4 linked regions of the Rhinolophus ferrumequinum genome follow. The protein of the gene in region 4 interacts with the protein of the main gene of each other region in a pairwise test. Links are inferred from orthologs where the notes say so. Each region holds a gene or a part of one and is shown on either strand. Other genes may lie near its edges. The genes, in order: DRAM1, SYNPR, EMD and CREB3.

Evidence for each region.
Region 1: the proteins of CREB3 (region 4) and DRAM1 interact in a two-hybrid assay, tested with the Homo sapiens proteins (2 studies listed by BioGRID and IntAct). The two-hybrid records come from large-scale screens. The link is inferred for Rhinolophus ferrumequinum from reciprocal best matches to the Homo sapiens genes CREB3 and DRAM1.
Region 2: the proteins of CREB3 (region 4) and SYNPR interact in a two-hybrid assay, tested with the Homo sapiens proteins (2 studies listed by BioGRID and IntAct). The link is inferred for Rhinolophus ferrumequinum from reciprocal best matches to the Homo sapiens genes CREB3 and SYNPR.
Region 3: the proteins of CREB3 (region 4) and EMD interact in binary tests that used the Homo sapiens proteins (3 or more experiments, as listed by UniProt). The two-hybrid records come from large-scale screens. The link is inferred for Rhinolophus ferrumequinum from reciprocal best matches to the Homo sapiens genes CREB3 and EMD.

The regions. Positions count from the first base shown.
Region 1 is NC_046293.1:17,428,506-17,435,847, reverse strand, and holds the start of DRAM1 (DNA damage-regulated autophagy modulator protein 1), read left to right. Parts: upstream 1-4,330; 5' UTR 4,331-4,733; coding exon 4,734-4,864; intron 4,865-7,342. UniProt on the Homo sapiens protein: Lysosomal modulator of autophagy that plays a central role in p53/TP53-mediated apoptosis. Not involved in p73/TP73-mediated autophagy.
Region 2 is NC_046300.1:57,381,158-57,389,147, forward strand, and holds the start of SYNPR (synaptoporin), read left to right. Parts: upstream 1-4,988; 5' UTR 4,989-5,220; coding exon 5,221-5,238; intron 5,239-5,351; coding exon 5,352-5,417; intron 5,418-7,990. UniProt on the Homo sapiens protein: Intrinsic membrane protein of small synaptic vesicles. Probable vesicular channel protein.
Region 3 is NC_046284.1:6,245,693-6,253,275, forward strand, and holds EMD (emerin), read right to left. Parts: upstream 2,902-7,583; 5' UTR 2,753-2,901; coding exon 2,671-2,752; intron 2,510-2,670; coding exon 2,402-2,509; intron 2,237-2,401; coding exon 2,159-2,236; intron 1,951-2,158; coding exon 1,817-1,950; intron 1,359-1,816; coding exon 1,312-1,358; intron 1,230-1,311; coding exon 899-1,229; 3' UTR 502-898; downstream 1-501. UniProt on the Homo sapiens protein: Stabilizes and promotes the formation of a nuclear actin cortical network. Stimulates actin polymerization in vitro by binding and stabilizing the pointed end of growing filaments. Inhibits beta-catenin activity by preventing its accumulation in the nucleus.
Region 4 is NC_046295.1:51,910,941-51,918,910, forward strand, and holds the start of CREB3 (cyclic AMP-responsive element-binding protein 3), read left to right. Parts: upstream 1-4,955; 5' UTR 4,956-5,074; intron 5,075-5,160; 5' UTR 5,161-5,169; coding exon 5,170-5,298; intron 5,299-5,389; coding exon 5,390-5,537; intron 5,538-5,611; coding exon 5,612-5,679; intron 5,680-5,802; coding exon 5,803-5,892; intron 5,893-7,009; coding exon 7,010-7,116; intron 7,117-7,226; coding exon 7,227-7,295; intron 7,296-7,970. UniProt on the Homo sapiens protein: Endoplasmic reticulum (ER)-bound sequence-specific transcription factor that directly binds DNA and activates transcription. Plays a role in the unfolded protein response (UPR), promoting cell survival versus ER stress-induced apoptotic cell death.

The sequences.
Region 1 (7,342 bases), on a different chromosome or scaffold from region 4:
GGGGGGTGGGAGATGAGGGTGAGGGGGATCAAATGTACGGTGATGGAAGGGGAGCTGACTCTGGGTGGTGAACACACAGTGTGATTTATGGATGATGTGATACAGAATTGCACACCTGAAATCTATGTAATTTTACTAACAATTGTCACCCCAATAAATTTAATTAAAAAAAAGAAAAGAAATAAAAATAAAAATATGATAACCAAAAAAAAAAAACTTTATTGCTAAAAAAATGCTAAGCATCATCTGAACCTTCAGCAATTCATAATCTTTTTGCTGTTGGAGTTGGTCTAGTAAAGTAAATTGAAAACCTTCTGGAAAGGATTCACCATTCTAGATGATATTGAGAACATTTGTGATTAATGGAAAGAGGTCAAAATATCAACATTAAAAGGAGTTTGGAAGAATTTGAACCCAACCCTCCTGGATGACTTTGAAGAGTTCAAGACTTCAGTGGAGGAAGGAACTACAGACGGGGTAGAAATAGCAAAAGAACTAGAACTAGAAGTGGAGAGTGAACATGAGGCTGAATTGCTGCAATCTCATGGTAAAACTTCAACAGATGAGGAGTTGCTTCTTAAGGATGAGCAAAGAAAGTGGTTTCTTGAGATGGAATCTACTCCTGGAGAAGATGCTGTGAAGATTGTTGAAAGGAAAACAAAGGGTTTAGAATACTACACAAACTTAGTTGAGAAAACAGTGGCAGGTTTTGAGAGGCCTGACTCTAATTTTGAAAGAAGCTCTACTGTGGTTAAAATGCTATCAAACAGCATCACGTGCTACGAAGAAATCATCCGTGAAAGGAAGAGTCAATCGATGCGGCAGACTTCATTTGTGTCTTATTTTAAGAAATCGTCACAGCCACCCCAACCTTCAGCAACCACCACCCTGATCAGTCAGCAGCCATCAACAATAAGTCATGTTTCACAATTATTTATGTGGGGACAGAGTCCCAGAGAGCAGTTTCCAGGCTCTCGACCTCACGTGGAAAGGTGCTGGCTCGGTTATTAGACAGCCGTCAGCTGTAATCAGATGGCCGTCCGCTGGGGCTGGGTGGCCATCAGCTGTTACCGGTTAGCCATTAGCCACTAATATAACTGCTGTGGCTACGCTGGCAAGGGGGTTGGTTGGTTGGCAGAGAAGCGGGCGGCAGATTGTGTCTCCTGCTTCCTGTGTTTCCAACCCAGCCGCCAGCGAGAGCATAGTGGTATGACTCCCCTATCTATGGCTCTGTTGGTGTTCCTTTTTGGCCTCACCATATCCTGTGTTCTTGTGCAGGGAGCGGGAGCTGAGTCCCTGCATGACAATTTATGTTGTTATGTAATATTGTATAAGTCTTCAAATTGCATAAATACATACACATGTACAAAAATAAAATATAACTACATATATTTTAAGGCATTTCCATCTGTAATTCTGGAGTTTGAGGAATTAGGAGAGTGAGACAGTTCTTCACAATTGTTAGGATTACAGGCTCATGAGTCAGATAGACCTGGATTCAAATTCTGCCTCTCCATTCATTAGCTGCCTCTCCATTCATTAGCTGCATGACCTAAGCTCAGTTTCCTCATCCATAAAAAGGGGATAACACCTGCACTTTGGGATTCTTTAGATGAGGAAGGACACTCACTGCCTTTCAATAAGTGGTGGCTACCAAGGAAGAATAACTTCATCCTCAAAAGGACAGTCCTTTGAAACCCTTACTGAGTCAGTATGACTTCCTTTGACAGTGAGAAAGTCAGGAATCAATTCAAGGGGAGAATCGCACTTTCATTATATATCATCCTAAAGGTACCCGGTGTAGGGGAAGAAAAATATTTAGGTTCTCAGTGGGTTCTCTGTTAACATGACAAAGGAAAATGGTTTTAGGCTGGGGGGGGCAGTAAACTGGGAAGGTAAACATATGGGGGGAAGGTAAACATATGGGGGAAGCTAACTCAGTAAGGTTTGTTAGCAAATTCCTCTGGTGCCATCTCTGGGCTAAGAGTCTAGAGCAGTATAAAGGAAACTTATACCCTGCCTTTAGACAGAAAAGGAGGAGGAGGGTAAAGAGAGCTCTTCCTGCTTTTGCTGGGCTTCCTAATTGCCTTACAACTCAAAGTAATTATGTCAAAGAGGCATATTTTGGGGTGACATATTTTGGTTTCCTTCACCAGTAAGGTTGTTTTCTAGGACTTCAGCATTTTGTACCTGTTGATGTAAGAAACATCCACACCTGCAGAGAATTTTCACAAGAGTTTTTGTGAACCAAACTGAGGACATATGCCAGGGAGTCAGATCTTAACTGCTCCAGAAAATAACAGTTTTGCACTTTCTTTTATGCATTTGAAATTAAGGAATGTAAAAAAGATTACTTGGAGGTGGGGGAAAGCAAAGTGGGGATTGGATTACAGGATAGTTAACAAGATTATGTGCTCTCTTTGAGGGCGGTTAAGGCTTATTTCAAAGAGATATTAACTTAGATGCACAGAAACAGTGGACAAGGCTTACTTAAGGCAAAGATAAACCTTTCACTAAAGAAGTTATATGCCTGAGGCATGACCTGCCCAGTTAGGAATTTATGATCAGATCGCCCTGGGAGGTTACTTTCCATAGAACTCCTTTTCTCATCCACGCACCACATAAACTTTACTATTCCAAGGAGAAGGTGTTATAAGGTCTACGGGACCGAAAGCTTTTAGAAGAGGAAGCAGTGCAGTGCTTCTCAGGACTGCTTGATATCATACGTACATATATGTGTAGTTAGTTACATACCTATTTTAAGTGTATACACATATACATACTTATTTTAAACAAGAAAATACCTATTGCTGCTATAGTCAGACGCTTGTAATTGCTTGTGTTAAAGGTGATTAGCCAGCTGGATTACTTAAGGGAATTGCATAAGCAACAGAAAGACAAGACAATCAGGTGAATTCCATTTGATGTCATAATTCCTCTGCCTCAGGGAGGGCTTTTTAAATCAGATGAATCAGTAGTAGAGAAGGAAAGGAGAAAAGGAAGGGGACGGAAAGAGAGTGATTTTCACAACTTAGAAACCTAGGTAGAGATGTGCAATGGATCACCATGGATGGCAGCTTTTGTGATTTCTAAAAAGCCTTAATTTAAAGCATTTGTTTTATTCGATATGGTGCTCACTCACCCCAAAGCCACAATGATCTGAAATATGAGTCTATCCATATTCTTACACTCTCCTCACTACCAAAAAATAAACCAAAACACAAAAACAAAGATTCTTAGCAGGACTCTGGTGACATGGCCTGTTCGCCTACCTCTCCATTCCCTGTCTTACACTTATCGGAGTGCTGTTTTAGTTCCAGAAAAACAAGCAATTTCACACTCTATGCATTTTCTCCTGTTTCCTTGGCCTGGAATGCTAGTCTCACCTTTCTTTGCCTGATGAACAATCATTTACTTTGGGAAACTCTTAACATCGTCTGTCAGGAACCTTTTCCTGGTTCTTCGTCCCAGCGCTGGCCCCTGCCTCTCAGCTCTGTGCATATCTCTGTTTTATTTTTTTAATCTCCTCTTATCTATTTAATGTTCCATACAATATTGTTTTATTTTGAATGTCAGTTCTCTAGATCCCATAGAACTATTTAATCTTTTGTATCCTGTCCCCTAGCAGGGTGTGACAACCGAAAACTTTATGCAGCTGAAATGAACCCATGTTTGGTCACCAATGACCCACTCACCCCCACCACATACCTTCAGCTCAGAATCCCTAAACTATATCTCAAAATCACCATGCTTGCAAGTGCCTCCAGGACATACGTCCCTTTTACAGAGTTTGAAATGTATTAAGTCACCTGTACTTCTCTTAGATCGTGTTTCCCATTCCTGGGCTAAGCTTGTTCAGTGAGAGGAGAAAGGGAAATCTAATTCCTAAGAAACAAACACTCCAAGCCCACTTTGGTGTAAAGCAGAACTGTGGGCGGCACAAGGGGCCACCCAGCCTGTCTAGAGCTCAGTCCCACCCAGGCTCCCACCAGCCCCCACACTCTCTTGGTTTCCAGGTGTACACAATCCAGGTGCGTGTCACATCCGTGCCGCGCGTGGCCTGGTGAACGTCACCGAACACTTCTCCCGGACCCCTGCAGCAGTAATAGCAGTGCGACGGGATGGGGTGGATGTCACCACGCGGTGGTCACCGTCTCCCCCGAGAAGTGCAGGCGTTGGGACCTCGAAGGGGAAGCCCTGGGTGTTCGTGGTCCCTTACCCCGGAAACCCCCAGGGAAGGAGGGGCTGGGAGGGGTTGATCGGTTTCTCCGGAGTTGCGCAACCCGCAGCTCCCAGAGGCGGGCATTCATTCCCGCCCGCGTCCCCGGAGCAGCCCGCCGCGCTGACCCCTGCAGAGCCCGAACCAAAAGCGAAAGGAGCCGCGTCCCCGCTTACCTGGCGTCGCGTCCACGGGGTGGTCGCCGCGCTCCTCCAAGTCGGCGGGGTACCGCTTTGTGACTTCACTCATTTCGCAACAAGCCCCGGCCGCCCGGACCCCACCCACCCCGGCCCGCCGCCTTGCCTTCCAAAGCCTCCTCGGGTCCCCGCGCTTCCTCTCGCTCTGCGGCTGGGCCTGCCCCCGCCGTCGCGGAGCCTCCTGTCCCGCAGCTCGTGGCTGTCAGTGCGGGGGACGCCGCCTGGCTGGCCAGCACGTGGCGGCGCCCGCCCCCCCCAGCAGCCAGGAACAGCCCGGCGTCCCGACCCGCTGAGCGCAGCGCATTCCCGGCGGCGCGATGCTGTGCTTCCTGAAGGGAATGGCTTTCGTCCCCTTCCTCCTGGTGACCTGGTCGTCCGCCGCCTTCATCATCTCCTACGTGGTCGCCGTGCTCTCCGGGCACGTCAACCCCTTCCTCCCCTACATCAGGTGAGGGGCAGGGTGAGCGGAGGACTGGGGACCAGGCAGAGGCACCACAGGGAAGCGCTGCTGATGGGGAGGACGGGGGACCAGACCCAGCTGGGGTGTCTTGTGGAAAGACCGAGGTCTGAACACGAGGAGAGGAGAGTATGCACCCTGGCAGATGTGTAGGGACGCAGGGGGTGCTGGAGCTAAGCAGTTCTGACTTGACGCAGAACACAGTGTCATCACGAGGGGTTCGGGAGAGACAGGAGAACTTTCAGACTGGGTGCGGGACAGCATCTCTAGAAGACGCGTCTTTGGCGATATTGAAACAGGACCTGATGGATGCTGTTTATTGAGAGTGCAAGTTGCAGATCCAGGTGTGCGCTAAAACAGCTCACATGTTTCACTTCTGCTTCCCAACATCCTCTTGAAGTGGATGTCTGGCTCATTTTTCACGAAAGGAAACTAAGTTTAAGCAGATGTTGAAATACCATCAGTGTGACACTGATGTCACAGCTAGGAAATGGTGAAAGCAGAATCCACGCCCAGATCCATTTCATGCCAAAAGCTACACTGTGGTACCTCCAGGTCATTGGGGGTCAGGGTTTCGCTCTCCTGGATGGAGCTGCCCAAGATCCCTCTGGGTTCTGTGCCCCCAAAGTCAGAGCCCTCAAATTGTCAGCTTGTGACATCCCTTGTGTTGTCTCATGTGTGTTTCTCATGAGTTTTGGCCTCCACCTTTTTAGGGTGACTTCATCAGTGCCCAGGACACACGTCCTGATCCTCTCCATGTGCCTCCCAACTCGGTGCCTTGCTCATGGCAGTGTTTTTTTTAGAACAATTCATCTTTATCCAAGAGGTGTGACTCCTCTGGATCTGTATTGGCTGGTGAGGGGATAATAAAGTTGGTGACACCCAGTGTTTGTAGAGATTATAGATTGTAGGGCTTCTCCTTTCTGCAGCCATTCTGCCTTGTGCACAATATTCTGTAATATGGGTCAGGAAGGGAGTGAAGATGAAGCAAGAAGAGACTCGAGTTTAGAGATGCAAGGAAGAGCATTCTGCAGAATGGGGCAAATATACAGTATTGATGCAGAAAGAGGGGCTTCTTGCATCAAGCAGACTTTCTCACTAGGCCTTGTGCCCCTGCAGAAACCTGGGCTTAGTTTCTCATGGCTCAGCTCAGTCCCAAGTGCCACTGTGTCACTCCTCCGGATTCTGAAGCAGCATAGATCCTCTTAGACTTGTGTAAAAACTTCTCTCCCTGCCATGCTTTTTATTGAGAAAAGAGTAGCTGTATTTGTCCCAGATCTGAAGGTCAGGGACAGATAATATTTGTCTCGCATTGGCGAGGCAGTCAGAGGCAGGGTTTGAGTGTTTGTAGAGGTGTCTGATATAGTTGTGATTAATATTACCCCAAGGTGAACCTGAAATGGAAGACATTCAGAAATGGGGAAATGAGCTGACAAGACAACCACTTGTGAGATGCGCAAATCACAGACATTCCAAGGGAGAGGGTTTAAATTTAACAAGGAGAGAAAGCCTTTAGAAAAAGAATTACAGGAAGAAAAGGCATGAGATTGTTCCCTTGTTGCCAGGAGCCATCAGTCTACAAACAACAAACGTGTATTTCTTGCTCACATGTGCCTGAGGCTTTGCAGTTGTCTGCTTCCCTGTAGACAAGAGCAGCTGGCGCATTGAATTGCTCCTGCCCCTCCTAGAAAACCAAGTCACTGAGGCAAGGACAAGATGTAGGTAGATAAGAGCTAGACAACAGGACCTGGTGGAAGTAGTGCCAAATTTGTCAGTTTTGCCCAGAAGTGTTGGCCCTTATATCCTATAAGTCCTCTCTGCTCTCACTACCTCCTATTCTTCTTTACCCTCACTCCCTCCATTTCCTCCAACCACACTGGTTTCCTTTCTGTGTCTCACACATGTCAGGCACACCTCCTTCTCAGGGCCTTGGCACTGATTATTCTTCTGCCGGAGTGTCCTACCTCCAGATTTTGCCCTTACCTCCTTTGTTCAAGTATTATTTCAGTGAGGCCTGCTCTGATAGGCCTATGTAAAATTGCACCCTAGTGCGCTTGATCCCCCATACCCAGTCTTACTAGTCACCAAAGCTCTGTCACCTTCTAACAAACTATATGATTTACTTATTGTGTTGATTACTTGTCTTCCTTCTCTGGAGTGTAAGATCTAGGAAGGCTCTCAACATTATTTGTTGAATTAATATTTCTCAGGCACTCACTGTGGTTATTGTATTCTTCCCCCTCAAGCAGGCCAGTTCCCTTCAGGGAAGGCCTGAGTCAATCACTGGTGGTTGGTCAATGATTTGGATGTACAGATGCTCCTCGACTTTGGGGTTACCTCCTGATAAACGCATCTTAAGCTGAAACTATCGTAAGTTGAAAATGCGTTTAGTAATCTAACTTAACTCTTTCACTGCATTAAATGGTTTCAAGTTTTTTCTCCAAAATGTATCAAAAATCGACAAAAGTC
Region 2 (7,990 bases), on a different chromosome or scaffold from region 4:
TTGGCTGAGATTTTTAAATTTCTTCGAGCCTGTGTTTCTCATCTGCACGAGGGGAGAAACAGTAGTGCATACTTATAAGGCTGATGAGGATATTAAATGAGTTATGCCTGTGGGGGCACTTAGCATTATATCCAGCATCTACTTACTGCTTTATACATCTCAAGAGTCATTATTCTGATTACTGTTATGACTATTATTCCCTGGGGTGAATCTTTTTGACATGAGTTTTGGTCCTCTAATTTGCATGTATTCAAGCCTGGCCAAATTTACACAGATACCTTTTGTTTAAAACAAAGATTGACATAGAAATAGTAAAAGTATTTTATGATGCAAGTTCACATTGACCATCCACATTTGAATTTTTATATCAGTTACAATTGTTATTTAAGAACGATCCTATTTGAATGCTAAGAATTCCATAGGAACTCTATGGAACCTTATTTCATGATGAAGTTTTATACCAAATGCACACACATGCTTGCACATTTTATGATAGCCATTTAAGTTGAAACACAAATAAGTAAGATGACTTTATTTGATCTTTGGGTTGAAAGAGAATGCTGTAGTTATTATAAAATGAGAGTTATTGAAAATATTTCCACACCACCTCCTGTCCTGTGTCTCAGTGGCCCTATGCAAACCGAATAAGCAAACAAATAATTACACAGACATGTTATTGGCCTTGGCTTGAGTCACTGGTTAAGGAAAGATTTGGAAAGTTCATGTTAACAGTATGAGCAGAGAGTAAAATAGGTAATATTTTGAATGACTTCTACTCAATTCTTATTTCCAGTATTTTAAGTAATTAAACATATGTGTAGTATTTCCTCCTATATTAAGTTGCTATGGATAACATTTTAACTTACTTTTTCCTCCTTGCCATCAGAGACATGAGAAGATGAAGCCCAGGTATGCTTTTTCCTGAAAACGAGATTTAATTTGCCTGAATAATGCAGGTCTGTCTACCATAGCTTGGTACTTTGGTTTTTTGTAGTTTTGCTTCAAGGTTAATCCTCTTTGTGATTCAAAATGGTTGTTTTTATAATTTGAATTTTGTTTATTTGCTTGTTTGGCAAATGCTGAGCTGAGTATATCCGACTAAAATGTAAGCCCTGTGAAGGCAGAAATTTTGTCAAGCTGTTTACAGTACCTAGGACAGTACCAACACATAATAGGCATGCAGTCCTTACTTGTTTAAAGAGAAGTCAGGGTTTCTCAGCCGTGGCACTCTTGATATTTTCCAGATGATTCTTTGTTGTGGGCAGTTCTCCTCTGCATTGTAGGATGTTGAGCAGCGCGTCCTTGGTCTCTCAGCTCTAGATGCCAGTAGCACCAACCCCCAGTTGTGGCAATTATAAATGTCTCCAAGCATTGCCAAATGACTCCTGGGGAAAGGAAGGGCCCAAATCGTTCTCTGTTAAGAACCACTGCAGTAAATTAATGGATTGCTTTGGCATGTCAAAGAAAGTCTTCATAACTATAAGTCCCTGGCAGAAAAAAAAAAAAAAAGGAATTTGGAAACTATCTGACTTACATAATCAATAGAGATCATTTATACCCCACAAAAGTTAATGTGATTGTTGAGCCAATGCAATAGATTTGTGATAGTAAGTGGGAACTTACCTTTTGCCACCTTGGGAAAGAAGAGAAGGGGTCACCCCTTAGCCACTGAGAGTAATATTTTGGCAGTATTTTCATTATCCCTCCTCCCTCTCCCAACCTAGTTCTTGAGGAAACCCAGTGTTATTTCCATGTCTGAATATAAAGGTTCTTATCCCAAAGATAACAAAATATTTAACATTGCAAATGTGATATGGAACTCTGGGTTATTTTCGTGATGCAGCTGTTTGAAGCTCATGCATTTCAGGAACGTGGAAAGCATCTCTGACAATGTGCAATTGTTGTCTAAGCTATCATACTCTCATTTGCCACAATTCTGGCTTCCTTCACGTGGTGTTTGTAGGACTGGAAACATTTGCCACCATATTAGCAAGAAGGAACATTAGGTGTGAAGAGACACCTGAGGGAATAGGCTCAATAATCACACTTCATCTCTGCCAAGTTCACAGCTCAAATGAAATGCAAATGGGAAATATTTTAAATAAATCACTCTCTCTGTCCAAAGATATACAAATGTTTAGATGACCTGGGGCAAGTTACTTAGCCTTTCTAAGCCTTAAATACCATCCATTAAAGGGAGGGTTTTGGTGATGCTTAAATGATGTCTGTAAAGCACTTAGCACAATGCCTGGCATGTACCAGGAACCGAATTATTAGCTATTATGATCATTAGCATCATTATCAAACATACAGGAGATGTTATACCCCATAAGCTAGTTGACTATCATGGAAAAAGCAAGAATACACTATCAATGAGTTCATATGGACTCAGGGTAGAATCTTGGTTCAGCTACTTACTAGCTGTTTGAACTCTTGGCTCAATCAGCCAGAACTATTATATGTTGTGCTACAGTATCAAAAGACTTAAAAATTTCACTTGTTACAACCCCAAATGCTTTTCTTGCTCAGGTTTGAGTCCATTAAGGTCTAGTTGCACCTTTGTTCTACATCATCCTTAGGCTGGGACCAGGCTGTCAAAGTAGCCACTATGTAACACATTGTATTCAACGTGGTAGAAGACAAATAAACAAGAGGGCAAGTCACAGAGAGATTCTTAAAACTTCTGTCCAGAAATGCACACATCACCTCTGGCCACATTTTCTTGGCCAAAATAAGTAAAATGACAACTCCTGAGTTCAAAAGATCAGGGATATATATGAGACGGGCTCAGCAGAGAGTGGCAGGTCAGTGCTACAATGCACCAGTCTCTAATGTGACCCTCTGGGCCTTCATCTTTGCATCTGTAGAAGTGTAAGCAGTGAGGAATGTAACTAACACATGTAGAGAGTTTATGATGTGCCGGACTCTGCCCTACACATGTAATTTACAAAATCTCACTAAGACCTCTTAATAACCAGCCAAGGTAGATGGGTGCCACGGCTCCATCTTTCAGATTTAAAAAAATGCAAACAACAACAACAACAAAAACTGGGTATTGAAGAGACAAAGTAACTTTATGCATAAGATTATATACATAAATTGCAGGGTACACACTAAGTACTTGGAAATGTTAGTTCTCTCCCCCTCCACTTGTGGTTGCATAATGGCTTATTTTTGAAACAACATTTTTAATTGTTTTAGACTCTTTCTGCATGTAGGAAGAACAGTAGGAATAAAACTGGCTGACTGAAGATGGTGCAACTAGCCCTTTGGAGTCCTGACTAAATTAGTAGTTTTTCTCTAACAAAATCCATGGACAAGGGGCATCTACACTGGACACTCTCTTATACTCAGTTTTGGCCTTCTGCCTCCCCTTCCCAATCTGCAAATGATTCATTTCTTTCTTCTCCACTTTCAAATATTAGTTACTACCCCCCACCCCTCACCTCCCACCCCCCCCCCCACACACACACACAAACTCCAAACCTTGGCAAATCTTTGTAGTAAACAGATGGCCTATCTGTGTTGCTGGGAGACCACTTCATACATGGAATCCAGTCCAAAGGGAATATCAGCTACACTGGGCTAAGAGCTTTCTCTGCTCTCTCTCTCTCTCTCTCTCTCTCTCTCTCTCTCTCTCTCTCTCTCTGTCTCTCTCTCTCTTTCTTCTGACTCCTTTTAATATTCTTGCTCTGGCTTCGTTATCTACTAGCTGTACATCCCTGAGCAGACAGACCTCTTCCCTTCCATGATCCTCAATTTCCTCATCTCTAAAATGAGAATAATAGTACTATTAACCCATAGGGTTTTGTGAATCGTTAATGAAATAATGTTTATAAGCCCTTAGTGCAATTTCTGACTCATAGAAAGAACTCAATTGTTTTCTTGTTGTTTTTATTTATTATTTTCCTCAAGGTTATTAGACTAAGGTTAGTAGATTAAGAATCTGGGGCCGGCCCAGGGGCTCAGGCGGTCCGTGCTCCTAACTCCAAAGGCTGCCGATTCAATCCCCACATGGGCCAGTGGGTTCAACCACAAGGTTGCCAGTTCAACTCCTCCACTCCGCAAGGGATGGTGGGCTGCACCCCCTGCAACTAGCAAAGGCAACTGGACCTGGAGCTGAAGCTGCGCCCTCCACAACTAAAATTGAAAGGACAACAACTTGACTTGGAAAAAAGTCCTGGAAGTACACACTGTTTCCCAATAAAGTCCTGTTCCCCTTCCCCAATAAAAAAAATCTTAAAAAAAAAAAAAGAATCTGAGTTTTAGAAGGGGGGCTTGGTCCTACTTATGATGAATTCAGGGACTTCATTTGAGATGTACCTAGGCAAAGGAGCTTAGTAGAAACAGCATGAATTTCAAAGGAACTTGAATTCCAGTCACTGCTCAGCCCCTCATGAGTTGTATTACCTTGGCCATTTCGGCCTACGTCTGTATTCTGCTTTTAAAACGGGCACAATAATTTGCTCCTGACTTCATCTAGTGGCCATAGGGATTACCTGCCTGGCACATTGTCCCATATTCAAGATGAGTTTGTTTCCCTCTCCTCTCTAGTCCGTTCTCTCTGAGTCCTAACCCTCTGCTTCCCCGGGGCGAAGGGGCAGTGTTCACCCTACTCTTTGCTGCATGCCAGCACCTGGGCACTGCCTGGCCACAGGGAGGGCGTTCCATGAAGGCTCGGGGAAATAGACAAGTCACCAGCACTCACACAACTACGCGTGTAAGGTGTGGATGCCTTTCTGTTCCCTGGGAGCCCCTGCGTCAGGCAGGAAGCCGTCTTGTTGATGGTACCAGCCTGCCTTCCTCCATCAACAGACCCCAAAGTTTCCCCGGAGCCTGAGGGCGTGGGGCGCGCGGCCGAGCCCGCACCAATGCCTGTGGCTCTGCCTCGCCCCCCTGCCCGCCCTCCCCTGAAGCTCGCAGCTGGCCAATTGCAGCCCTCTGCCGGCGCTGGCTTTCTTCCCGCCCCGGCCGCCCCCCCCATCCAAGCCCGTCCCTCCTCAGCCCTCCGCTGCCCTGCTCCGCTCCAGGCGCGCGGGCTTCGCCGAGAGCGCAGAGCGGGGAGCCAGCGCCCGGCACCCCGATCTCCCGGGACCCTGCCCTCGCTTGGCTGCTCCCGGCCTCGCTCCTCCGGTTCCTCCCGAGAGGAGGCTTCCGGCGTGTTCCTCGAACTTCATTTGAAAGGGAACCGGTGGGTAGGAAGACGGAGCAGGGCGAGTTATGGACCCTGTGAGTAAGGTGAGACCGAACGGGGCAGGGCAGCTGGTCCTGGGGACCCCGAGGCTCCGGAGATGCGCCCCAGCCCCTGCCTCATGCTTTCCCTTTCTCTCTCTTGTCTCATTCGCCCATAGCTGGCCTCAGCAGGCACCTTCCGGGCGCTGAAAGAGCCCCTTGCTTTCCTGCGAGCCCTGGAACTGGTAAGTAGACGCTTCTGTGCGGGGAGGGGACCCAGGGGGCCCACCATCAGGCGAAGAGAGGTCGGGTGAGGTGCTATATGCTTGGTTCTGCTCAGAGCTGGGGTTCAATCTCCCTATTTCAATCCTCCCCACTCGCAAGGTGCCATTCCGGAATGGCGGGGACAGGAATGAGGGACCCTTTGGAGGCGGGGGTGTGGACGAATTTTTGCAGGCGCTTAGACGAGGTGTTATCTCACCTCAGCGCTCGCAAACGCGCGGTGTCTGATGAAAGAGGATTCCGCGGGAGATGGAGATGGGAGGGGAGCTGATGGAGGGGCTGCCGCCGGGGTCCCTCTGCTCACCTGGACTTTCTCAGGGGCGAGGGCCTGAGACGAGGGACGTGGGGCTGAGCGGGGTAGCTGGGAGGACTGAGCCAACCTCAGAAAGTTGGTCAGCACCGGGACAGCTCTTCGCCTGGGCTGGGACGCTGGAAGCGCTGGGGTCAACTGCTCCGCTGCAGCTCCAGCGACAGAGAAGCTGCGAGGCTATGAAAGATACTGGGCTGGAGAGTGGGGTTCCTTCCTTCCATGTTGTAATTTCTCTACTCTGGCCAGTCCTAGCGGACTCTTTTGATTTTTACTGGAAGATCTCCCCAGCCTTCTTTGTGTAACATGCATCACTGACTGGGTTTTGGGAGATTATGTTACTCTTAGATTTTGCCCCCTTAAAAAAAGAACAATTGATGACAGTCGTATGTTAACTTGTCTGTTGACAGAGGAGTGAGGCAGAGAAACTCACGGGGCCACAGAGCAGTATTAGTGGTGTTGGCTTGGGTGATGGTTATTCAGAGTGAAATCTGCAGGTCACACGTTCCCTCTTGCTAGGAGCTCTCAGAGGCAAGCGAACCTTGTGAACAGAAAGTTCAAAGCCCGTCACGTAGCATTAATCACAGGCCCTACCACTGACTAGCTGGGAAATTATGTAAGAGTGTGTTCTGCTCTCCCAGATCTTCCTTCCGAGGGCTATTGTCTCGGTCTGGCTTTACAACGGTGGTGCCTGTTTACATGGGTGATGTACAGGATAATCGTTATTTGCAGACCTGCATAAAAATGCATAAATATATCCATTTTGACATATGTTAAGACTGCATTTGCAAATCTTGAGCTAGAGGTTCAGGAATGCCTATTCTAAAACTGTTTTCCTTACAGCTCACTAAGTTGAACAAATCGAGCAGCGCTCACAGTCCAGGAAACTTTCAGTTGTCTCAGAATTCTGTCCACATTCATTCCTTCAGCCATCTAATAAACATTCCCTGTGAAAGAGTGGTGTCTTTGATCAAAATAATAGCTCCATTGCCAAGCCATTGTCTCTCAAAACAAAATTCAAAGACCTGACATAATTTTTCTGACATAAACTCTTGTCTCACATTGTCATTTACCTGAAACGTTAGTTTGTATTCTCTTCAATCCTCTTACATTATTTTATGCCACTACTCACCACACAACCTCTACTGATAAATTTCAAAGGCTGGTAAACCTGGATGAATTTGTTTAAAACGCAGATTTCTGGACATTAATCAAAATCTTGAGAAGATGAATGCCCCAGAATCTGCATTTTAAACAAGTTCTCTGGATAATTCTTGTGCACAGTGAAGTTGGAGGACCACCTCCCTAAGCTCCATCCAAAACTCAAAAGCATTTTTCCCCATAAAGACTTCGCCATTTCTGTTCACAGTGTTTGCAATACCCTCACACCCACAGCCTAGGAAAAAAAAATGCTTGTCTTTTAACCTCAGCTTAAATACTACCCCCTCAGTGAAGATTTCTATCATGTTTACTCCTTTCCATATTCTCTACTGAATTCTTCACCTCATTCTTTGGGTTTCCATTTCATTTCATTCATTCATTCATTCATGAGAATTTATCATATTGCATTACAGGTGTCTTTTTCTTGTGGGGGGGGAGAAAGAGAGAGAGATAGAGAGAGAGAGAGAGAGAGAGAGAGAGAGAGAGAGAGAGAGAGAAATAGAAAAGTTACTACATTTATAGTCTTTCCTCTCTCTCTTCTAGGTCTCTAAGGCTCTAAGGAAGAAGGGCTTTTGGTTTTTAAATCAGGTATTAGCCTCTCATTTGTGGACGAGAACCTGAATAATGGACAAAAAAAACCTTATATACAAGTAAAATAGTTGATCAGCACTTTAAAAGAACTAAGGTGGCGATATGAAAGCAGAGAGATAGAAGGTTAGTTGCTGAGAAAGTTTAACACGGTGGAGAGAGGGAAAGAAAACATGTTTTTTGTGCATGCAGTGATGTGAAAAGCCACTCTGCGATATCCTTTCCTGCAGGAGATCTTGGCAATGAGAGAGAGTGTGATCTCTTAGATGGCAGAACATTTGTTCTATTTGTCTGTTTCCCACTAGTGCTTTTCCTAGTGCTTGGTGAACAGTAAATGATCAACCAAAAGTGTAAATCTACAATGACAGAACACTGAAAATATCCCAGTTTCTCCAGTTCTGTGATAGAGCATCTTTAAAGTTGGTAGTATTTAAAGTCTTTAAAGTACAGTCCTTTTGTTTTTCAGTATTTATGCTGTAG
Region 3 (7,583 bases), on a different chromosome or scaffold from region 4:
AATGTGACGATGACACAACACCCACAGCGGGAAACCTGGAGATGAGTGAGGCTAGTCAGCTGAGGGACTGGGTTACCCAGCGTGATAGGGCATTTCAGAATACTCGGAGCTTTTCCCCATTGCATTCAACAAGCAGCTTCCAGGAGAAATGGCCCACCGAGCACGTGCAGCCCTTCGACACCGGGCTTGGCCTCAGCTCTCCCTGCTTAAAATGTCCCAAGCCAGCACTGTGCGTGTACCCTCGCCTGCATTTCCAAGTGGGCTTTCCAGACCCCGTGCTGCTAGTTATTTTCATAACTAGTTATAAGAAGTCTGAGTAATGAGTCAGGGAGTGGACCCCACAAGCAAATCCCAAACACGTCTGTGGGTGACATGTGATCCTTATCCAAAGCCCAGAGCAAAAAGGGAGAACCAACTAAGCCAGGTGGTGAGCCTAGAGACCCAGGGCAGAGCCCAACCCTTTCCCCAGCAGGAAGAGTCCACACATTAAAAACAAACGGTCTTTTTATTGTGTCCACGAAAACAAAGTGAGGGTGGCCTTTGGTTAATCCCAACAAGGTGACAACGAACAGGAGGCATGCGATGACAACAACCATGTTCTCTCCAGGAGCAGGGTCTGGCTCTCCTGGGTCCTAAGGGTCAGAGGCAAGCAGGCCCAGGAGGCTCCTGAGGAAGGTCTGCCCAGGCCCACCATGCTGCAGAGGACCTGAGCCGGCTTACCTTCCTGTCAGGACAAGGCAGGACAAGGCAGGACAAGGCAGGGGGAGCAAGCACTGCCCCAGGCCAGGCCCAGCACCCCCAAGCTAGGACACACAGAAAACCCCCCCTCCCCCAGAAAACCCTCCTAAAGCAGTTGACCAGGACTTCTGAGAGGGGCTGGCCAAAGCTATCCAGACCCTCAGGGCTGGGTCCAGAAGGGGTTGCCATCCTCCGCCTGCATGAAGTAATACACGAAGAGTAGAAAGGCAGCAAAGACCAGGAACAGGAGCAGCAGGCCCCAGAGTGGGACCTGACGGTCCTGGCCCAGGCCAGCCCCATGGGCCTGCTTTTCCGGACGGATGGCACGGCGGGTGAGCCACAAGGGGGAGGAAGATGATGAGGACACCAGAGAGGAGGAAGAGGATGAGGGGAAATAGGACAAGCCCAGGGAACTTCTGGAGATGTTGGAAACAGGGCGATAGTGCGCGATGTTCTGGTAGGTGCCGTCCCGGCCATACATGGGGCGTTCCCTGAGGCAAAGAGGGGAGTAGATGGGCCAGGAGGGCATGGGCCCAGAATCAGCCCCGACCCCTGGCCCGTTCCACTACTCACCTGTCTTTGCCCTCGTCTTCAGAACAGAAAAGGCTGTCATCACGCACCTAAAGAATCAGGGTAAGGAGCATGACTGGCAGGGTCAGGGTGGCCCTGTCATAAAGTCCAAAGTTCCCTGGCGGGCCTCGTCTGATTGTTGCTGAAAGGCCAGGGCTCTGCCCCCTTCCAGAACCCTTCGGAATTCCTGGCCTTATGTCCGTGGGGCCTTGCCACTTGCTCAGTGACTGTCTTGGCTGGCCGCACCCTACTTTCTGCCCCAAGATTATCAGGAAGAGCTCAAACCCAGATCCCAGATCAGGGTACAGAGCATGTCCCATGTGCTCTCGTCAAACAGTTCTGACAGCTCCCCAAAGGAGGGCCCTGACCATCAGGTGTCTACTGCTCCCATCTCTCCCTGGAGGCTTGAGAGCCACCATTTGCACCCAGTGGCCTCCTTGATGTATCCAAACCCAGCTATGCCCCCCGAGGTTGTACCCAAATAGAGGGTGCCCCACCGCTAACTCACCTGGTGGTGAAAGGTGTCCGCATCTGAAAGTGACGCCGAGTGCTGGCGGAAACCCTTGGATGGGCCCATAAACTCAGGCTCCCCGTAAGTCTTGGTGCTCAAGTAACTCTCCTCATAGTAGTCATCATTATAGCCTTGGGAGGGGGGGACAGCGGTAGCAGAGGGGGCAGCGGTGTCCCCTGCCTGGCCCAATGGCCCTAATTTGAATCCCATTTGGGGCCTGTGACACTGTTTCTCCCCTCCAGGGCTGCTGAGGGGCGGTGGGGGTTGAAGTCTCAGGTTCTCTCTGACACTAGGATCCCTGAGGAAGTGGAATGACGTCAGGGCCCACTGCTGCCTTACCCTTGCTCTGGTAAAGTAAGGCATCCTCTTTCTTGGGCAGATCGTACATATCGGAGTCCACAGATGCTGAATCTGAGTCTAAATTGGGGGAGGAGGGGACGCAGAACCATTTGCCCCACGCTCCCTTTTCGCCATGCCCCTCCCTACCAGCGCCCCTGCCACACCCTCGAGACCCCATCCTCCCCATAGCCCAAACCCTGTCCCCACGGGCGGCCAGGTGGGGCTCTGAGGTGGGGGCCTCACCGGAGAACCGATAGGAGAAAGAGGATGAAGACGAGTTCGGGGGCGAGAGCCTCCGCCTCTGGGTCTCGTACTCGAAGATTTTCTTTTCGTAGAGCTTGCGAGTGGAGCCTGGCCAGACATGGGGCGCGGGGCGGTCAGGGGCGCAGGCAGGGAGCCCGAGGAAGGAGTCCCAGGAGGGGGAGCGAAGCGCGGACGGGAGCCTGGGGAGGGGGTCGGGGGGGGGCCCGCAGGGCCTAGCGCGGGGAGGGGGCCCGTCCGCCACCGCGTACCCACGACAGGCCCGTGCGGGATGTTGTACTGGCGCAGCACGGCGGCCAACTCAGCGTCCGACAGGACCGCGTAGTCGTCCATGGCGGGCGGCGAAGGCCTGGGGGCGACCCCGGCCTAGCAACACAGGCCCAACTGCTTCGGAGCGCGGCCGGAGTAACACGAATGCCTCGGGAGCGGCTGCACTCGCGTCACGCCTGCGTCACGCTGGCGTCACAGTCGCGGGCTCTGCGGGCTGCGCGCGCAGGGCGGGGCGGAGCCAGGCCACTGGGAAGCAGCCGGCGCAGACCGGTCCTGCCGTGGGAGTGGGCGGGGCGGGGCTGGTGAGCCTAGACGTCACAAATAGTCAGGATTGGCTAGTGGAGAAAGAGAGGCGGGGCTTGAGAGGGAGCCAAAGCAGAGCGGACCTGTCGGATGGTGGGAGTGGGCGGGGCTGCACGGCCAGGGGAAGGGGCGGGGTCGACGAGCCGTGCGTCACAGGCTGTGGCGTTTGGGCTAGACGGGAGAGAGGGGCGGGGCCTGCACGCGAGGGCAAACAGCATAGACTCGCGTTGACAGGGGAGCGGGGCGGGGCCGCAGAGTCCAAACGTCACCGGCTGGCGAGTTCGGGCGTGAAGCGAGGAGGGACACGGCCGTGCGAGTGGAACTGGCAGGAACCGGCCAGAACGTGGGAGCGGGGCGGGGCCGCGGTGCTTGGAGTGGCTCGCCCTCCTTAAGTTACGTGGGCTCCGCCCGGTCCCTTCAAGCCACCACAGCCCCCATCCCCCAACCTCCAGGGCTCCAACGTTTGGTGTTCCCCGGCCGCCCCGGCAGCAGCGGGAAGGGGCCCGATCCTAAGGGCGAGCCCTTGGACAGCGCGGGTCCCTGGCCAGGCGCTGCTGCCAGCTCTTTGAGCGCGTGCGCCACACTAGGGAAGTGGCCCCGCAGAGCCCGGAACCTAGGACGACCCTCAGGCCGACCCTCAGACCTCCTGCCTCAGGACGGCCTTTCTGCTCTGCTTGGCCCTGGCCTGTGCACCTGCACCCTCGGTCCCCACAGCTTCCCCCGCTACCTGCTCCACCCAGGAGGAAATGGGGCACTGGGCCAGGAGGCCGCCAGCACTCCAGGAGCAAGCAGCCTTGGCAGGGGCCGGCCCGTGCCAATGGGCACTGGCAGAGAGTGCCGTGTGATGCATGCAGAGACAGCGAGTGTCCGCCTGGGGTTGCCGTCCACCTGGGGCACTGGGGGTTTCCTCTCCAGTCTGAATGGCCCCTGAGCACAGCGTGACCCCAGGAGATGGCCAGGCGTGGTCCCTTCCAGACCCAGAGTGGCCTGCTCGGGGGTTCCAGTAAGACTTGGCAGGCTCTGAGCCCCTGGGTCTGGGTGGGCTGCAGTGCCTTGGCAGTGCAGAGTCCCTCCCCACCAGGACCGACCGGAGGGCCAGAGGACCGAGGGGGGCAAACCACAGAAGGCTGCGAAGGCCTGCTGAAGAGCCTGGACGGTCACTAGGAGTTGGTAAGGGCCTTGGTCAGTAAAGAGCTGTCCAGTGGAGATTGGAAAGGAGGTGACATGTTGTAAACAAAGACAGCCAATGGAGTGTGTGGCCAGCTGAGATGCCCCTCCCTGGGCAGGCCCAGAACTGGGAGAATGGGGAGATGAGGTGCTGTCCCTGGTCTTATAGATGATAGCTGGTGACAGGGAAAGCAGAAGTAAGGAGGGCTCTGGTTCAGACCCAGGCTGGCTGAGCCAGCTGGTGAGGGTCACAGACCAGTTCTCCATGGAGGTTTGATTATGGGGTAGAGAAGAGGCAGCCATCCAGGGAGTGGTGAGGAGGTGGGGCTGTGGTTTGGGAACACACAAAGACTCTCAGAAGAGTTGCTGTTGTCTGGGTTGTTAGAGGAAAGGTGAGGTCTGCTCTGTCCCCTAAAATATGAGGAGGAAGTATGTAGGTCACAGACACGTGCATGCATGGCTTCAGAGCAGGGAGGGAAATGGCGTTGGGGTCTGGGCCACTCGAGGCTGCCTCATGGAATTTTGAGTTTTGGCAAGATCGGATTCCCCAGCACCTCTCCAAGCCTTCTTCTGCAATGCTGGCCCATGTCCCAGCGGCTCAGTCCTCCCCCATGCCACCCCTCCCTGTACACATCTAAGCTGTTTCCTTATGAGGTCAAGGAATTCTAGGTTTGCCTTCTCCCCAAGGAACACCCCCTCCCTGGCACCTGCCTCGGCACTCTGCTTTTTATGTCCCACGCCAGTTGTCCCAATATGAGGTCCCACCATCGATGGCACCAGGAGGCTGAACTGTGATGGTCCCCTGCGTTCACCCCATGGCTACCTGGCACCCACGACCAGCCCCGCTGCAGCACAGACCCATCCCAGACCACCAGGAACCAGGACGAACCCTTGACCATCAGAGCTGAGAGTCCCTCTGCAGCACCCCCATCAGGAAGAGGAGGAATTGGGGGGCCAGAGAGGGAGGATACTTGTCCAAGGGCCCTGAGTACTGCAATTCATTCATGGACTGTTCCCTCAGCCAGTACCGGATCCTCAGGTCAATAATCTGGACAGTCTGGCACAGCAGGGGTTCCAAGTCCTCAGCGGGGCTTTGGGGAAAATCTGAGGCCTCCAGGGGAGTCTTCCTGGGAAGGGTGGGCAGAGTTAAAGAAGCTGAGTTTCTGTGGTACTGCAGCCAGGGTGGAAAGGGCTAGGAAGCCGCCGACTCCAAATCAAGAGTAAGATAGTTTCTCCTTTAAGGACAGAGGGGATGGCTTCTAAGCACTATATTGTATAACTTGCAATCCCAGCCAGATTGAAAGTTATAAGGAAAAAGAATATCAACCTGAATATATTTCTCAGCATCCATGTCCAAGGAGATGATTGTTCACTGAGTTATTAATGTTTTCTGTAAGATCAGAATCTTCTTATACTTTAGTACTAAACTTCTCTTCAAGGATGTTAGAGATCCTTTGGATTTTACCTGGTATGTGAATGCTTTGAAACATTGCTCAGGTAGTAACAAAAGTCATAAGATGATGATTATTGTGAAAATGTATGTGTGGATGATTGTCACAATCAACATAAAACACTGAATAGTTAGCTGACCTAAAGTCTCTCAAAGAATGCCTCATGTTCCAACCCTAGAAGCATCGGTTCATGTGGGAGCCGTTGGCACAGCCAGTTGGAGAGTGAGCCTGCCTTGGCAGCAGCAATAGAGCTGATTCTAGTGGTTTTCCAAAACCTTCAACACAAGGAGAAAAAGTCTTTCATTTATGACGGTTATTACCAGGGAACAGTTGGTGCTGTACAAACCTTCGTTCCCCCTATACCTGGAAGAAGGAGAGACCAAGAGCTGTGTGTATTTCAGGGGTGTGTGTGGAGGGCGAGAGAGGCAGTAGTGGGAAGAGAGGATTCACATGGAGGTGGGGCGTCCTGAGATCCAGGCACGTGGCCCGCCTCCTTCGTGTCCCCCAGCTCTTGTACACATGGCAATGCCTGTGGTAGGTGGGTTTCCCTCCTTGAAGGATAGCCTTGGCCATGAGCTCCAGCACAGCCACCTTATGGACCTGAACTCAGGTCGCTCCTCTATCAAGTGATGGTAACCCACCATCCTCTTCAGCTGTGGTGGTGGGCGGGTCCCACCAGAGGGAGCAGTGAGAGTTGGAAATCCGGACACTGCTAGGAGATCCCACCATGGGTCAAGGTGGAAAGGTCAAAGCAGAGCTACCACTAGCAAAGGCAGGAGTGGCTGTAGGGAAGCTTGGAGGGTGATCAGCGCCTTCCTGTTACTGGTAAACTGTAGATCGCCAAATTCTTTTAGCAGGTGTGACCAAGCTTCTTCCTTCCATTTTTATTTCTTTCCTTCCTTCCTTCTTCCCTCGCCCTCTCTTTTAATGGAGTAGAATGGAAAATATCAAAGAGCTTTGCAGGTACTAAGGGAGAGTCTTGTTTTGTGAAATGTTTGTTTTAATTATTTGTGTTTGTGTGTGCGCATGCACATGTTTTATGTGGCCTTCTTCGGAAGTGACATTTGAGCTGAATCTGAAACTACCAGGAAATGGGCAGAAGAGGAAGAGGGAGCCTGGCAGTGCCAGGGCATGTCTGTGCCACCCGGCTCACAAACACTTGGCTCTTTGGCTGCACCTCACTGTACACTCTCAGGCTTTGGGACTGCATCTGATTGTGCGCCTAGGAATTCACCACTGTTCTGCTGCCCCCTCCCTGGACTGGCACCAGGCAGGGGCCAAATCAGTGGCAGCCAGGCTGCTTGTTCATCACCGTGGACTCAGGTCCCTGCCCCACTGGGGCCTTGTGGGTGGTAAGTGCTCAGTGAAACACACCTGCAAAGATCTGTTGTCCCCACCACCCCAGAGGGCAGAATCTGATTTGACTGGCCAGCCCAGGCTTGGGGCAAAGGTAGGGGCAGTGACTGTGGGTGGCTCCCTGGAGGAGGTGGCCTTTCCAGCTGGGTTGAGACGTGAGCCCTGCAGACCCCACGGGCACTTGAGGCAACCTCCCCCCATCACCCCGGCAGCCTTCACCGGGTGGTGAGCTCATCGGGGGTGGGGGGTGGGGGGTGGGGAGCGTCACCAAGCAGCCGGGGCGCTGAGCTCACGGCGCGCCCCCGCCCCCCGGCCACTGGGCGATTTTACCAATTAAGGCTTTTTCGCCCAGCAGGGCGCGGGGCGGGCGCGGGGCGGGCGCGGGGCGGGGGTGCGGCCAACAAGAAGGCGGGCAGCGGCGGCCCATTCGCGTGGAGGCGCGCGGCGCGCAGCGGACGCCAGCGGAGCCCAGAGGCGCCGGGCGCGGGCGCAAAGGCGAGCGGGGCGCCACCCTGCGGTTGTGGGCCGCCCACAGGGACAGCAGGTGAGGCAGGCCTCCGCGGCCCGGGTCCGCGCGAGACGGTCACCGCGCTACTCGCGGACCCGGGGCGGGGGTG
Region 4 (7,970 bases):
TCAAGTACGGAAACCTCTGGTGAGACCCCGATAAGGGAGTTGAGTCATGCCTACCCTTCCTCTCAGGCTCGTCCGGAGTGGACAACTACATGGCTACAAGGGGTGAGGAAGAAGGGGCACTGAGGAGTGAGCTGGGGGTGATACGGGCATAGAACAAGGGCCCTGGAAGCACAGGGAGAAGCTCTCCCGTTCCTGCTCTGGTCTGAGAACTTTGATCCCCTTTCCATCATGTTTTATGAAACAGCAACAACACCCCCTCCCCCAATGTCCCCCTCCCAGGGAACTCCGCCTCCCTCAAGACATTCCTGAGATGCATTCCAGAGGAGTTGGGCAATTGGAGGGGGAATAGAGGACAGAAGGTCAAATCCCAGCAAGGAATGGAATGTAAGTGTACAGGGGGTAAGGAATTTGGGGTACATGGAGAATATAGTCAGAGCAGATACCTCCAAAGGGAGTTGCAGAAGGACAGGGAGTCACAGAGAAGGACAAAGGGAGAGAGAACACTGAAGACAGAGTCAGAATGGAAGAGGGTTGGGGGAGTAACACTCAGCCTGTTACCAAATTTGGCCTCTGAGTCTGTAACCCGCGAGGGGTGGGGGTGAGGGTTGTGGGTGAGACTGACATATCCAGCCTCAGGCTGCTGGAGGCTCATTTAGGGCTGGACCGGGCGCTGAAGGGCTGGGCCTGACCTCCCCCAACACAGCCCCTCCTCACCTACTCTCCTATCCATACAAATTCATTCTCTTCAAATGCAGCCCAGCCCATCTGTGCACACAGCTCTTCCCCACAAAGCTACTTACACTGTCTCTACATACACGTTATCTCACACACGCAGCCCCTACACAGATCCCATCACAACCACCTTATCTTTCCGTCAAAAACCCCATCCCACGCACTCAGCTTCCCCACAAATATACCTCTATCAGCAAGCACAACAGTCACCCCATGTCTCTTCTTCCATTATGTAGACATTCTCCCTCCATTCACTTAGCAAGCATTTCTGAAGACTTGTTGTGGGGAAGGCCTTGGGCCAAACCCTCAGTGGCTGGGAACCAAGAGTAAGCCCTAGCCTTTGCCCTCAAGGGACTCCCACTCAGCTAAGTGGATGAGCTAAATACAGAATTATAATAGAGGGAAGGATGTAAAGAGCCAAGAGGTGTATGCTCAGGGCAGTGATTCCTTTAGGTAAGGGAAAGGGGACCAAAAAATCTCCATGAAAAGTGTCCTTTGAAGTTAAAATTAAAAAAAAATAAAGATAATAAAAAATAATAGTGATCTTTTTATTGACTATATGTCCATTGCTTTGTATACATAATTTCGGCAATCCTTACAACAACCCTGCAAGGTAGGCGTCATTATTTCCAGTTTTACAGATTAGGAAACGGAGGCTCCAAGAAGTTAAAAATTTGTTCAAGGTACTTGTCCAAAATCACACAGCTAATAAGGTATGAAGCCAGGATCCGAACCCAGGTCTCTCTGACTCCAAAGCCCAAGCTCTCTCCACTACATCAGCCGGAGATGAGTCAAGGGTAGCATTCCAGGCAGAGAGAATAGCATAAGCAAAGGTGGAGAAGCAGGAAACCATGGAGGAACATTCAAGAAGTGAGCAGACAGGCTGGCTGAAGCACAGGGTACCTGCAATGGAGCAGTTAGGGTTAGGATGGAAAGGCAAGGGAGGACTAGAGAGAAGTATGAGGGATTTTACCTCCTGGAGGGCAACAGAAGGCCAAGGGAGGCTGTGTGCAGGGAAGGGACATCACAAGAACTGGATTTTAGGAAAATAATTGGCAATTACTTTGGAGATTGGTTAGAAGGACACTGCATTAGCACAAGTGGGGGGTAATGAAGCCAGAAATAGAATAGTGGAGAGAAGGATGTCACTCATTGGAAACTTTAAGACATAGAACTAAAAGGACCTCATGACAGCCTGTCCTGTCACCCCTCAGGGCCCAGGGCCCAAAGTCAGGCTTCTTGTCATTAGTGGCCCCTCAGTGGCTGGGATAGCTTGAGTTTAGGTAAGAAACTGGGAAGGGGGAAAGAAAGGATCAGGGTGAGCTGCGAATGTGAGGATGAGCTGTGGTTAGGGGATGTGGTTAGGCTGTGGGAAAAAGGGGGTGGGGATGTGGACGGTACCACGTAGGAGCAAAAGGGATGAGGTTAGTATCCTGTGTCAAGTAGTACTAGACTTATGGGGTGGTCACTTCGTAAAGTATATAAATGCCTAATCACGATGTTGCACACTGGAAACTAACATAATATCGTATGCCAACTGTAATTGGAAAATAAATTAATTTAAAAAATACAATGCATACACATGCCTCCTTTTAAAATTAAAAAAGAAGTGATAAGGTTAGTTACTGAACTGGACTGGAAATGGGGAAGACAAGGTACCGAGAAACGTGGGGTAAGATGGCAGTAGGAAAAAATACATATGTAATCAGTCACCACTTTATGCTGGGGAAGAGGAAGAATAGTTCTGTGGACAGTGGCTAAGTCAGGGAAGGATGAAGTGAGGTCAGAGGCTAGGTCAGGCTACAGGAGGCTGAGAAGAGATGGGCTGTGGTCAGGAGCTAAATTAGGAAGGCTGGGATGGAGGGAGAGTAAAGGGACACTGGTAGTGTCTAAGTAAAGCTGGAGTTGCTGGGGTGGGGCAGGGCATGGGGTGCAGCCAGTGGCTGCATCAGGCTGGGTAGGGGATAGTGCTGTGGTCAATGGCAGGGTCAGGCTGGGAGTAAAAGGGGGTGTGGTCAGTGGCCTGCCTGGGCGTGGGATCAGCAAGACCCAGTTTCCTCTTTGGGTCTCATTTCCTCTTTTCTGTTTAGGGAGTGGGGGAAGGGGATCTACAACAGGACCAAGAAATTAAGGAGGCTTAGAATCAGGGAATGGCACATAGCAGGGATGAGGGGTACTTGCCAGTTGTGTTGGGCTGGGGGTGGGGTATTCAGCAAATGACTAAGAGGTATACAGGTGAATGAGTGGGTGAAAATGGTGGGAGAGTGCTGTAAAATAATGGGAAAGCTCGGATTTGGGTGAAGGTAAATTAAGGTAGGATGTGTAGATTAACAGGTAGGAAGGGAGGCAGACCTGAGGCTAGGAATGGATGGTAAGATGAACATGGGAGAATTAAAGGCAAGGTAAGTATTCTGTAAAGGAATATGCAGGAAGAGTGTGAAATGCAGGGCCAGGGAGAAGAGTTGGAGAGGAGGGCTTAATATCTAGATAATGAAGGAAATAGGAGGCAGTGGGGCTGAACTTTGAGAGGATTCAGTCATCCCTTTCTTCCCTTGGCAACAGTGTCTCCTTGCTCTACTTCCCTCTTAGTCACCCGTCCCTTCTCCCCTAGGCGGTCCCCCACTTATGACTAGGCCTTGACCTGTCTCCCACCTCCTATCTTGTAAACAACATAGTCTGGGAACCCCTGCCTCTCAAATGTGGTGGCCATAGCAAGAGCCTTTGGCTTAGAGAGTAGAATAAAGAAGGTGGAATCCCAGATGCCTGCAATTCTAGCTGAAGTCCAGAACTATGGCGTGAAATTAGTTTGTCATTTCTCTAGGTCAAAGAAGCCCCTGCAACTACATAGGAAAAAGAGACTTCACCACCGCAAAACAAGGACATCCACCTACTGCCAATGTTGTAACTTTTACCTGCTTGAAGTCACTACCCTAACCTCAACCACCACCTCTAAAACTGCCCCTAATTTCTAATATTAACCTTGACCCTAATTTGTTTCCTGTTTCCCAATACCGGTTTTGACATTCATCCCTTCCTGGGAAGATACCTGTATCCAATCCCTGATCCCTAATATTGATAGAATTTTTACCTTTAGCACTAGATCCTCTGACCTTAACCGTAAATGTTGACTCCTAAACCTATAGCTCATTTGTCAGTTGATTCCTGACCCATCCCTTCACTGTTTGACCCTAATACGCCACGGTTCTCTAATCCCTGAAACTGAACTTCTAACCTAATTCCTGTTGTTGACCCTGAACTCTAATTTTGACTTACTCTGGCCATCCTAGAAAACAAAATAATGACCTTAATCCAAACTTTATCTATATAAAAGGGACCTGGCTCAGGCTAATAACTATAAATTTCAACCCTGGCTCTATAACTCCTAAAGCTAACCTGATTCCTAAATCTAATTTCACCTAATCCCAAACTCACCCAACGCTTTCCTAGCAGCTAACCTCAAAAGCCGATCCCCACCCTGCACCTCACTACCACCCTACTTCTCATCCTCCCCAAAACCTATCCCAGACAGAAGACTGCTCCCAGGAAGGGCCTGGCTCCCGCAAAACGGCCTACCTAACTCCGAGCCCAACCCCGGATGCACTGGACGCTGACCCCTCCAACAAGACCCGAAACAGGAGACGCAGGAGAGTTAGGGGCCCCGCCTGCCCACCCGCCTCCCCGGCCTGGCCTCGAGGCCCCACCTTGAGACTCCCCCTTGGCCCAGTCCAGCCTACCTGAGCTGCCCGGCTTGTGCCCCGCCCGCTGGCCCGCTAGCCCGTCTGTTCTCCCGATGGCTCTCGGGCTCCGGCCTCGCCCTCCCTTCGGCACTCTCGGCCACTTCCGTCCCTGGAACGTCCCCCACCCGCGGGCGGCGCCCTGGGCCCGCGCTCTATGGTTGCGGGGGACGGCAGGAAGCTGCTCTGGCCCCAGCTCTCGATGCTCGGGAGCGCGCTGAAGACCGTCTGGCCCTCCCCCGCAGGAAGCAAGGGTGCGGCGCAGTCCCGGGGAAACGGCCGAACTGCACCGCAGTTCCTTTGGAGTCTGATCCTTCCTTATTCTAGCTTGGGGCAAAGGCGGCGCCGGCTCCCCAGAATGCCCGCCCTCAGGGTGTGAGGAAGCAGCAGGGACCTCCCCTGTATTTGCATAGCTCCCGGGACGTGGCGCGGCACCTAAGCCACTTCCGCGTTTAGAGAGAACTTTAAGTCCCGGGATGCTTTGGGGTAGGCGTGTCACTTCCGTTGTGTTGGAAGCTGCGGAGAACCGAGTCTCGGTGGCGGGTCTTGTTTGAGAGCTACGACTAGTAGCTACGGGGAAAGCCGGCCGAATAGGGACTAGCGGATAGGTGGGGCTGACTCACAATCGGTGAGGGTCGTGCATGGGGCCGGGTGGAAGGGTGAACTCCTGCGCTTGTGCCCATTCTTTCTGTAGGTGGCCCATATGGATTTGGCGTTGGACCCGGGTGACCAGGACCTGTTGGCCTTACTACTAGAGGAAAATGGAGATTTGGGGGTGGCGTCCGATGCGTCCTTCGAGGCTCCACTGGACTGGGAGTTGCCGATTTCCGAGGTGGGCGGGGGCTCTGAGCCCGGGAGGTGGGGGGCGGGGTGTTCTTGAGGATGGTGGTAGGTCAAGGCCTGTTAATTTGAATCCTGTTCAGGCACTGAGCGATTGGGATGTAGAGGATTTCCTGAGCTGCCTGACGAGTTTCCCAGCATCGTCGAACGTTCTCAACAGCTCGAATCCCTGTCTGGTCCATCATGACCACACCTATTCTCTCCCACAGGAACATGTTTCTATAGATCTAGGTGAGTCTGAAATAAGTGAATTTTGAGGGGAGGAAGGGACTCATGAACCTGGCTATTCACTTTCCCTTTTGCAGATAGTGGGAGTTCTGGAAAAGAGGAGGCCCAGATGACACCCCTACATGTGGAGGAGCCCGCAGAACAGGTACTTTGTTTACTGGAGGATTATTCCCACATTGCACATTATTCCCACATTGCAGACAGGATTCCTCATTCCTCTCTGACATGCTCCCTTGTGACTCTGCCTCCCACCTTTCTGTAACCCCAGGAGATTGTTAGGCTGATACTGACAGATGAGGAAAAGAGGCTATTGGAGCAGGAGGGGCTTACTCTGCCAGAGACATTTCCTCTCACTAAGGTAAGACTCCCAGTGGTGGATCAAAGACTGGAGGGGTGAGGATTGAGTCCCAAGTAGTCCAATTCTGTTAATTTTTCATCAGTAACTTACTAAAGGACGAAAGTGAGAAATTAAGCAAATTTGCTGCTAATAGGAAGCCGGGGGATGTAGTTATATACTGGATGCAGGGGCAGATCCTGGTTTTGTGGGGCTTACACAAATTTTGGTATTCTTTGTAGGAAAGAATTCAAAATTACCAGTGCATTAGTTAGTATAGGGACTTGGAAAGGACTGTGCAAGCAAGGGGCTCTGACATTTAGATTTCACTAGGTGGATTACCATATCTATCTAGCTGAAAGGTCGAATTAAGTTTTAGAGTTCAAGACTGGACTTAGTAGTATAACAAGAATAAACGTAAAATCTTGAGTTTTAAGTTTCAAGAAGCAATGGGTGGCAGTCTCGCAAGCATAATATTGTGATACTGTGATGAGATCAATGTTCATTGACAGAAAGGTTAAAAGAGTTTCTTAAAAGTACAAGATGAGTCAGCAGTGTGATATGGTCACTAAGAAAGTGAATGGGGTTTGGAGGCTGTATCAATAGAGGTATTTCCTCTAGAAGGGCAGTGACTATCTTGCTCTCCTTTATACTGGTCAGAGCATATCCTAGTGCCAAGTTTTGAGTCCAGATCTTTGACAGATAGTAAAAGGAGTAAAAGGACACAGTCCATCCTGAGGAGGTAAGATGATGAGTTAAATATTTTATCCCACCCCCCAAAAAAGTTGCCCAGATTTATCTTTGCTTGGAGGAAATGTTGAGTGTCTTAAAATAGCTGAAGACCATTTGTTCTGTATAGCTCCCGAGATTAGGTATGAGGTAAGTCCAATGGATAGAATTATCGAAGCAGATACTGGCTCAGGATAGGGAAGATTAATTTTAATTAATAAAATTGTTAAAAATAGTCTGGCTTATGAGGGTGTTAACACCTAGTCCTCAGAGGCATTTAGCCAGAAGCCAAGTGCCTACTGGTCAAGGAAGCTGTAGAAGGGATTCGTGCATTGGCAAGATTACTCAGTTGCCTTCCAACTCTTTGGTCCAGTGTTCTGTGATGATACCCCTTTTCCCTGTATTATCTCAGATGGAGGAACAAGTTCTGAAACGAGTGCGGAGGAAGATTCGCAATAAAAAGTCTGCTCAAGAGAGCCGCAGGAAGAAGAAGGTGTACCTGGGGAGTTTAGAGAGCAGGTATAAACAGGAGAGGGGCTCTGGGGTGGGTGGAACAGAAGTAGCTGGAAGTGATATGTTTTTGAAGGGAGGATACAGGCCATATCCCCACATCCCTGTTATTCCCCCAGGGTCTTGAAATACACAGCCCAGAATTTGGAGCTACAGAACAAAGTACAGCTCCTGGAAGAACAGAATCTGTAAGCAACTAACCTCAGTCTCTTCTCATCCCTCCCATTTAATGAGCTTTCACTCTTTTCCCTGCTCTACATTTGATTTCCAACTGGGCAGCTCCCACATGCAAGGTCTGGTGTATGGCCTTTAGTGGGTCTGATTCTAAGACGCTCACAGTAATGGGGATTAAATTCACAAGTAACTAAGGATGAGTTAAGTATCAAGAAAGACAAAAGGAGGGAGTAAGAAAGACCTCACAGGGCAGATGGCATTTGGTAGTAGATAGGATTCGGGGGGGGGGGGGGGGCGGGGGGGGGAACATTTTAGGGAGAGAGAACACAGCACAGGTTAGTCTGGCTGGAATCCTAACATAGGTGAGTTGGGACAGAAGGGAGAGAATGTAGGCTGCCTGGTGAGGTTTATGTGCATAGCTACTTAGGCAGTATAGAACCACTGACTTTGCAAGAGTTTAAGTCAGGGCAGGGCAGAGGTGTGTATTTGTTTTAATGAGGAACTTCAGGCATTTTGTCCACAGAGAGGACAAAATGTCCTATTTGCAAAAATAGGACAAAAAACAAGCGAGTTAGAGCTTCTGGGTCTCGTGTATACATGGGGTATACGTTATTAAACATTTTCTCCTGCTTAAAAAAAAACAAAGAGGACCTAGTGCACAGATGGAGGGGTGGCCTTTATAGGAGGGT